Ovis aries: one gene and its partner. The main gene of each other region encodes a partner of the protein of the gene in region 2 in a complex. Links are inferred from orthologs where the notes say so. Each region holds a gene or a part of one and is shown on either strand. Other genes may lie near its edges. The genes, in order: CD69 and S1PR1.

What was found.
Region 1: the proteins of S1PR1 (region 2) and CD69 are in contact, whole or in part, in a cryo-EM structure (PDB 8G94), measured with the Homo sapiens proteins. The link is inferred for Ovis aries from reciprocal best matches to the Homo sapiens genes S1PR1 and CD69. Residues at the interface, in NP_001307659.1 of Homo sapiens: Asn157, Leu160, Phe161, Ile164, Ser165, Trp168, Val169, Leu172, Ile173, Gly176, Ile179, Met180, Gly181; in NP_001772.1 of Homo sapiens: Val41, Ala44, Val45, Val48, Val49, Thr52, Ile53, Ile56, Ile59, Ala60, Val63.

Annotation. Positions count from the first base shown.
Region 1 is NC_056056.1:205,852,411-205,856,896, forward strand, and holds the start of CD69 (early activation antigen CD69), read left to right. Parts: upstream 1-1,550; 5' UTR 1,551-1,637; coding exon 1,638-1,701; intron 1,702-4,416; coding exon 4,417-4,486. UniProt on the Homo sapiens protein: Transmembrane protein expressed mainly on T-cells resident in mucosa that plays an essential role in immune cell homeostasis.
Region 2 is NC_056054.1:78,585,731-78,590,140, reverse strand, and holds the start of S1PR1 (sphingosine 1-phosphate receptor 1), read right to left. Parts: upstream 2,964-4,410; 5' UTR 2,648-2,963; exon of another isoform or gene 1,210-2,647; intron 977-1,209; 5' UTR 815-976; coding exon 1-814.

The DNA of each region.
Region 1 (4,486 bases), on a different chromosome or scaffold from region 2:
CATGCACTGGAGAAGGAAATGGTAACCCACTCCAGTGTTCTTGCCTGGAGAATCCCAGGGATGGCAGACCCTGGTGGGCTGCCGTTTATGGGGTCGCAGAGAGTCGGACACGACTGAAGCGACTTAGCAGCAGCAGCAGCAGCCTACAGTGGTGGTGTACTTGATAAGTGTCCGACTCTTGCAACCCCATGGACTGTAGCCTGCCAGGCTCCTCTGTCCATGGAATTCTCCAGGCAAGAATACTGGAGTAGTTTGTCATTTCCTCTTCCAGGGGATCTTCCCAAACCACGAACTGAACCTGGGTCTCCTGCATTGCAGACAGGTTCTTTGCCAACTGAGCTACAAAAGAAGCCCAAGCCTACAGTAGATGTCAATTTCCCACCCACTTGACCATAGCATTTTCACAAAGGCTTTATTCTGAAAACAGAATATCTTTATTCAAGTCACATTAATGACAAAATTTGAGGATACTAAAATTATTAAGTAGAGCAGTATTTTGATCCTCTCCTTAAATCACCAGATATAGACATTCTGCATTTATTTTGCATTGAGCTTAATAACTTACCTGGATGACATTGATACTATGGTAATATATTTTTATAGTTATTATACTCTAATCTAGCAAATGGAAGAAAAATAGGATAAAAAGATTTTACTAAGGGGAAATAAGGCAGTCCAAATGACAGTCATGCTGCTGCTGCTGCTGCTGCTGCTAAGTTGCATCAGTCGTGTCCGAGTCTGTGCGACTCCATAAACGGCAGCCCACCAGGCTCCCCCATCCCTGGGATTCCCCAGGCAAGAACACTGGAGTGGGTAATGACAGTAATATATAACATGAAAATTGAGGAGATAAATGAAATTGATCGTTTAAGATAAACAATTTTAGAACATAGAAAGGAAGTTCCAGCCACAAAGTTTCTATTTCCTGCATTAAAGCAACTACTTACTAGATAACTTACTAACTAGATGACTTAAGAAATTAGTTCCCAGGGAAGAAGTGAACGGCACATTTCTAAAAGCCAGTTTATAGTGCACTAAGTAAAACACTTCCAGACTGGAGAAAGATCCATGAGGATAGATGTCTTAAATCTTTTAGCCAACAATAAATCTTCTAACCCCAAATGGTGTTGGGTTCATAGCAGATGTTCAATGAATATTAGTTGTTAAACTTATGATTTAATGAATGAATGGGATTCCAGGGAAAAATGACTCTTCAAATTATTTCCATCTCAAATATAGGAATCTCTAACTTTTAATTCTTTACTTGGATATTCTATTTCCTAAACTATTTGTTTTCTACAAATTTAAAAAGGATATCTCAGATTCTGGGAAATTCCTGCTTGCCTCTTCATACTGCACCTACCTTTGTGAGAAAGCACATTTCAGATGGCAGGGGAAACCCATAGCTTACCACAACAACACATTGTAAACTGTCTGGGCCTCTGGAGCATAAATTAAAGAGAACAGGAGTATCTGAGCGACTAGGAGGTGAGAGGAAGGGGGTGGAGACAACATAGCTGAATATAAACGTTGAGGTATCTCAAAGACACAGAGACAGAACAAGAGCTCCAGCAGAGAATTTCACTGTAGGTTGGCTCCACCTGGGATTAACCAGGGTGATTGTGACAAGGATAAAGATGAATTCTGAAGATTTTTCTGCAACAGAGACCAGCTCCTTGCACCTGAAAAGAGAACCACAAAGTAGGTCAATTCTTTTTCTCTAAATACTGGTAATATCTATTTCTATGTTTATATCTATCTATCTATGATATATACCAGGAGTTAGGGAGAAAATCAAGCTTGCCTTTTGTGGAAAAACTTGTCTATGTTCCATTTGAGCAGGACACAAGAGAAAGTGGGAAGAAGTAAATATTTCTTTATCTATGTGAACACAGAATACCTGAGACATGAAAGGAAATCACAAAGGTGAATTTTAGAAACTCCTTAAAGATCTGTCTCTTTGTTTTATTTTATACCATCTCAGTTTTTCAGATTTAATTAGAAAATCCCCTCCCTAGCCCAGTGAACAATTTTTTATAACCATCTGGATATCCCCTAGGAAGCACTGCCTCTCTTTATGAAAAATTCTATTTTTCTTTTTAAATTTTTAAATTTAAATTTATTTATTATGTGAGAGAATTCTATTTTTCATATAAATAATGATGTTCTTGACTGGCTGAACCTTGTACCATTGTGTGCTTTTCGTGGGCTTTATCTTGTGTTTTCAAGAAAACATCCTCCAGTTGCTGGGAACACAGGTTTCCAGACTTTGAGAGAATAGCCATATAAGCATCTGAATATTTATAGTGTCCAAAGGCAATTTATTTTGAGAACTTCATAAAGAATTCTTGAAAACACAATCGTCTTCTCTAGTCCTATGGGTGCTCTTTCCCTCCATTTCACTTTTCTATTTGTTGTTGTTGCTGTTCAGACACTAAGTTGTGTCTAACTCTTTGTGAACCCATGGACTGCAGCATGTGAGGCTCCCCTGTCCTCCACTGTTTCCCAGAATTTGCGTATATTCATGTCTCTTGAGTCAGCGATGCTATCTAACCATCTCATTCTTTGCTGCCCCCTTCTCTTCCTGCCTTCAATCTTTACCAGCATCACAGTCTTTTCCAATGAGTGGGCCTTTTGCATCAGGTGGCCAAAGTATTGGAGCTTCAGCATCAGTCTTTCCAGTGAATATTCAGAGTTGATTTCCTTTAGGATTGACTGGTTCAATCTTGCACTCCATGGGGCTCTCAAGAGTCCCCCAGCACCACAATTTGCAAGCATCACTTCCTTGGCACTCACTTTTCTATTTCATCTAATTGTGGACTTCGAATTCTATATGAATCAGACATTTTTCTTCCTTTCTTTTATTTTTCATCAAAATATGATTACCTTTGCTATATCACTTTTTTCCGTTTCTGTTTGTCTAATCTATCCATAGACCTTTTCATCTCTTGTCACCAGGATTTTCCCATTGTTTTCCAATAACTTTCTTGGTGGAACTTTCTTGACTTATTTCATTTCTCTCTCTCTTCCTCTCATGTTAATGAGGTGCCCCAAACACTAGAAGGTAGGAACTAGAGTTTACTTGTAAACCCAATTATCCAGTAACAAAGAATGTGTTCTGAACAACAGAGGTGAAAATATCTAGAGGAGGGGGTTGTTTACCGAATATGTGTCTACTAGTGTGGTTTGCTTTAGAAAAGCATTCATTGCCTCAGGTAAAACTGTCTTTCACTTAGGAACACAAAATCAAGTGTAGATATTGCAAACCACACAAAATTTTTGGTGACCAGATACCCATAACTTGATGACTCAGCTGAGTTTCCTGAAAGAAAAAAGTATATTAAAAAAGAAAAAAAAGAACAAGGAAACCATTCAATAATAGCATAGTTTAAATAAGAAGGAATTAATTGTAGGAATTCTAAACTTGTCCTGAAATCATCCCAATCTTCTATTGAATATTTGATTTATGAATATTTAGTCTATGCTGCTCTTGTAGCTTTATCAGTGTAAACAATCTTTGAGCACCACCCTTGGGGGATTCAATATGTACTAGAGGATTTGTTTTAAAATTTCTCCATTAATGGACAGGGCTTGTAACCAAACCGGAAGTATACTCTTAGGGGAGTGGTTTGTTGCCTAGGTGATAAAACAAACTGTGAATAACAATAGCCCTAACTAATGAACTAATGATATAACTTAAAATCAGAGAATCACCTCCACAGCTTACCCACTGGATGTCCAAGCCAACAGTGTGAGTCCACTGGATAAGCCAATGGACTCTGACATCCGTGAGCTACTTGGATGTGTTGATACCTGCTGAGGAGCCAGAGATGTTTCTGCATTGAGTTTGAGCCCCTTCATTGAGTCTCACATGGTGAGAAGTGAAACTAGACAGAGAGCTCTGAACTTGCTACCCTAAATACCAAGCGCTGCTTCTGGTAATAGTTGTATGCTGATGAGAAAATAAAGATATGCTTTAACAAGTTGAGAGAAATAGAACCGGATAGGAGTGAAGTAAAGTCTTCTCTTTGAAAATTTGAAAGCAGGCCTATGCTGGGAAAAACAACGTTCAGAAGAGGCAAATGTTGTCTTAACATCCATTGCATAGTAAATTGCTTTGAAGGAAAGCAGCATCTCTGTCTAGTTAAACCTTAAAGAATACAATTATAATATATGTTGAATTTTCATAGCTACTGAGTACATATTTTGGGAAATATTTTATAATCTCATTATTGTGACTGGATTGTTTCATTTCTAGCCAAAAATAACTTATTCAAAATTTGAGGAAACGTAACTTGTACATTTTATATAAGAAAGTAGGGAGACATATAATATTTTTTTTAATGCCTCAAGAGAAAATCAAATGTCTCTTTCTTACTTCTATAGCCTGCCTAATCATCCACTTTCTCTCTTCAGGTCATGCCACTGGGACTTACTCTGCAACATATCATGAAGGATCAATTCAAGTTCCTATCCCATGTGCTGT
Region 2 (4,410 bases):
GTGGCGCCCAGCAGGCGATGAAGACGCCCAGGACAATAATCACAGTCTTGAGCAGCGCCAGCGACTTCTCCGAGCTGCGGCTGGCCTTGGAAATGTTCTTGCGGAAGGTCAGACGGCGGCTGCGAGTCCTGACCAGGGAGTAGATCCTGCAGTACAGGACGACAATGGCGAGCAGGAGCAGAGTGAAGACCGTGGTGCAAAAGAGGATATAGTGCTTGTGGTAGAGCGGCAGCACGGTGGAGCAGCTGGGCAGCGTGCTGATGCAGTTCCAGCCCATGATGGGCAGGCCCCCCAGGACGAGGGAGATGACCCAGCAGGCACTGATGAGCAGGAAGGAGCGGAACCGGTTGCTCCCATTGTGGAGCTTCATCTTCAGCATAGTGATGTAGCGCTCAATGGCGATGGCCAGGAGGCTGAACACGGAGGCCGAGAGGGCCACAAACATACTCCCTTCCCGCAGAAACCACTGGGCGGGGGTTAGCTTGTAGGTGGTGGCCCCAGACAAGAGCAGGTTGGCTGTGTAGGCCACTCCCGCCAACAGGTCTGAGAGGGCCAGGTTGCCGATAAAATAGTACATGGGTCGGTGGAACTTCTTGGTTTTCCAGATGGTCAGCAAAACAAAGATGTTCTCTAGGATGATAAAGCAGCAGATAAGAATGAACACCACTGAGATCAGTTTAATGCCATTGTCCTTGTCCGCGCTGATCTTCAGCTTTCCCGTGTAGTTATAATGCCGGACAATGATGTCGTAGTTGACATAGTCGGAGACAGGGCTGTGCAGGGCCTTGACCAGGGGGATGCGGGTGGACCCCATGATGCGCACGGTCCCGACACCCGGGGCGGCGCTTCTGCAGATGAACGCTAGAGGGCGAAGCGGAGCGAGCCTTCACAGGCAGCCGGGGTGGTTCAAGGAGAGAGATCCAGGCTTTTTTTGTGAAGGTTTTCTTAAGCTGGAGAGGGCCTCGGAAACCACAGCCTTAAACAAATCACAAAGAGCAGAGAGTCAGGGAAAAAGCCACAGCACATTGGCATAATTCATTCTAGCGAAGGCATTGCTCCAATTTTCTTGTTGATTTGTTTTAAGGAAACTTGGGGAGAGCGCAGGGGGGAAGGATTTAAAAAAAAAAAAAAAACATCAAACTCTCATTTCTTGGGGGGAAAAAGGAAGAAGGGTGAGAGAGAGAAAGAAAGGGAAAAAAGAAAAATTACCCAAGATGAAAACTCCGACTCGACGACAAGACGAAAACGTCCCCTATGGTTACATATACCCAAATGGAAATGGGAAAACTGGAGGTGTGAGCCCCATTTAATTCCACTCCTACGTCCTCAACACACACACACACACACACACACACACCCCTCCGCCTCTCCCAACGCTGTCCCCACCTCCACCAGATTTCCAGCTCCAGTTGAAAAACTAAAGCCTTCACCAGCTTCGCGGCGGGCTCACCACTAGCTCCTAGTCACACCTTCGAAGAGACCAAACCACCAATGTGAGACGCACACCTCTGTGCTCGGCACTACCCAGCTAAAACCACCTCCTAATTGCCATGCAAGAAGTTAGATTTGCGCGAAAATCATTTGACAGCGTAAGTCACTTTTTAGGCTCTATTAATAATCTCTAGGAGCAGGTGTGCTTAGGGTCCGAAGGCGCAGCACAGTGTGGGCAGCCAAGCCCGCCCTGGCCTTGCGGTAAACAGGAAAGCTTTAGCGCCTCCGTGAAGCAACTGCCTTTTCATTCTTCTTCTTCTTCTTTTTTTTTTTTTTTTCCGCGCAAGTCAGTGCAAGAAACTATAAAAGTACTCAGTAAAAATCATTCATAAGCTATTGCAATAAATCCCAGAAGTTTCGTACACCCATTGATTGCAAAAGTATTTTTTAGTTACTGTGGATATAGCCCAAACACGCATACAAAAAAGAGAAATTAAATTACAAACGCTAAAAATACACGCCACTGCATTTCAAATTTCGAATGCAAAATTACTCTCCAGAAACTCATACAAACAGAAGTCTGGAGGTTCCTTGCTAAGCCAGTTTTATTTACTGCCCTCCCTCAATACGTTGCCTCGTCTCAGAGAACTACGAAGTGTGGAGGGGATGAAACACGGCACGTGTGGGCAGAAGTCTACCCGTAAGTTGTTTAAATGTTTCAGGGTAACACTCAGGGTAGCAAATGCGATAAAAGTGGAATTCTCCAGACTACAGCAATTCCCGGGACAGCAGAGGCTGCTCGGCGCCCAGTAGCTCCGCGTTTCCCCCCACCTAATTCCACACTCGCTCGCTCGCAGGGCAAGTTTAAGCCCTTACCTCATCTCCCGCAGTCTTTGTCTATAGGATTTTCCAAAATAAGCGCCTTCCCTCCCACTCCGCAGACCCACCGCAACTTCCTCTATCCCCCAACCCCAGAGGGTTCTACAAAGAGGACTTAACCCTTTTCCAAACTTTTTAGTGAGCCCAGAACAATCCGATCCGGTTGGGCGCCTGAGTAGCCCAGAGATGCTTGTTCTCAGCACCCAGAGATGGATGGTTTAAAAGTGTTGCTTTGCTTCTCTCCGGTTTGAAAATTTTGTTTCTGCCTCGGAAGACCTCCGGTCGCGATGCTCCCCTGCTCGCCCGGGTCCGCGCCTGCCCAGCGCTCACTCCCTACCTGGCTCAGGCGGGACGCAGCTGCGTTCGCGGAGCTCCGGGTCTGCACTGAGCGCTCGGCATCTTGCTGCTGCCCGGGACTGACGGCGTCGAGCTCTCAATTTACTCGAGTCGGGGTCCCCTCCCTCCGCAGCCGCACACTCCAATGGCCAACGCTCTTGCCGTGGCCGGGCAGACCGGTCAGCTGAAGTCGCCGAGCGCCCCGCTGAGGCTGAGCGGCTTCTCTAGGAAGGGATGAGGAGGAGTGAGTGCCTCAAACCCCCGTGCCCCTCCGCTCGCGCCTGGGGGCCGCCGGATCTGTGCAGCTGAGACTCACTGTCCAGGAAAGATCTGCAGCAGAAACACACAGACAAAAAAGAGCCCCTCCTCCCCAAGGGAACCAAAAAAAGAAGGGGGAAAAAAAAAAGAAAGAAAGAAAGGGGGCGGAGCCTGGTGCCCCCTGGACTCAATGTATAAATCACGGTCCTCGCCCTGCTATCCGCCGCTCCCTGGCGGTGGAGACAGCTCTCCCCAGCCTTAGAAAAGAAAGGAGGGGAAGCGCTTTTGGAAACTTTTCTCAAGAAGAGTCTTGGGAGACAGAGGACGGCCTGGGCAATCTAGTGCGCCTTTCTGGTCCCCTTAACCCCGCAGCCCGTGGGGGATCGGAGTCCGAAGATTGTGGCCGGGCGCTCCGGGCCGCCACCCCACCACGACCCCAGGCGCTTCTGCGGAGGCAGGGGGAAACCAGCTCCGCGACCCCGCGAGTCCCGGTCGTGTTCCTGGGGACGGGGTGCTGGGAAGGGGCTGCCAGAAGGATGGAGGAGAAATGCTGCCCGGGTAGAAGAATGGCCTGGGAGGTTCCACCGCTTCAGCTCACCTCCCTCCCTCACCCTCATCCTTCTGCTGCCTCGAAACTTGCGGTCTGAGGGGGCAGAAAGTGGCTTTCGCGGGGCGCACAGTGAAATGGGCCAGCTGGGGGCGAGGTGTTGTGCGGGGGTTCCCCTCACTCAACTGGGCGCAAAATCAGGCCTTGTGTCCCAGATTCTAGCCAGTGGTGAGGTCTGTGAGGAGGTGGGCAGCTGCCGGGGCCCGCGAGTTTAAATAGCTTGGGCAGCTCAGGAGTTTCCAAAGAGAAAGGGCTGCCCGGCACGGACCAGCCTAGGACCGGCAGCCTGGGGCCGGAGCCCTTGTCTGTCTTTCTACGTCTTTCTACTTCGGAGGCCCAGCCTCAGTGCTCACAACTCGCCCACTGTTTCCTTTCGCTTGCATGCTGCTTCAGAATGTGAGACTGAGAGTCGGCCTTGGTCAGCTCCGCCTAAGTGGTAAACTGAGGGCCCTTCTGCCCTGCCCTTCTGCTTGAGGCTTTGCAAGACGGTTTCCACCCGATCTCTGGTCTCACTGGCTTCCCATCCAGGCAGATGTCAACGCAAAACTTCTCCGTTGTGAAGTTTCAATTAACACAGTACAGGCACACCCTGTACCTGAATGACTCAGAAGGAGGCTGAATGAATAAACAACAACTCCTGGCTTCTGGGATCTTATGACTTTGCAAAGGAAAAAAAAAAAAAAAAATCAAATGACAGTTAGAATACAGTTTCCCCAAAAGCTCTCATCAACAGCCTTGAGCCCAGCACACACCCTCAAATTCAACAACAGTAAATTCGTAAGACATAGAAACCAAGATAAAGGTCCTCTAGAATAAACTCTGATTGGGCTTGAGGATGTATTTCTCTTAAAGGGATGATATATTGTGTCTGCTCAGCACAACATAATATGTGGACTTGG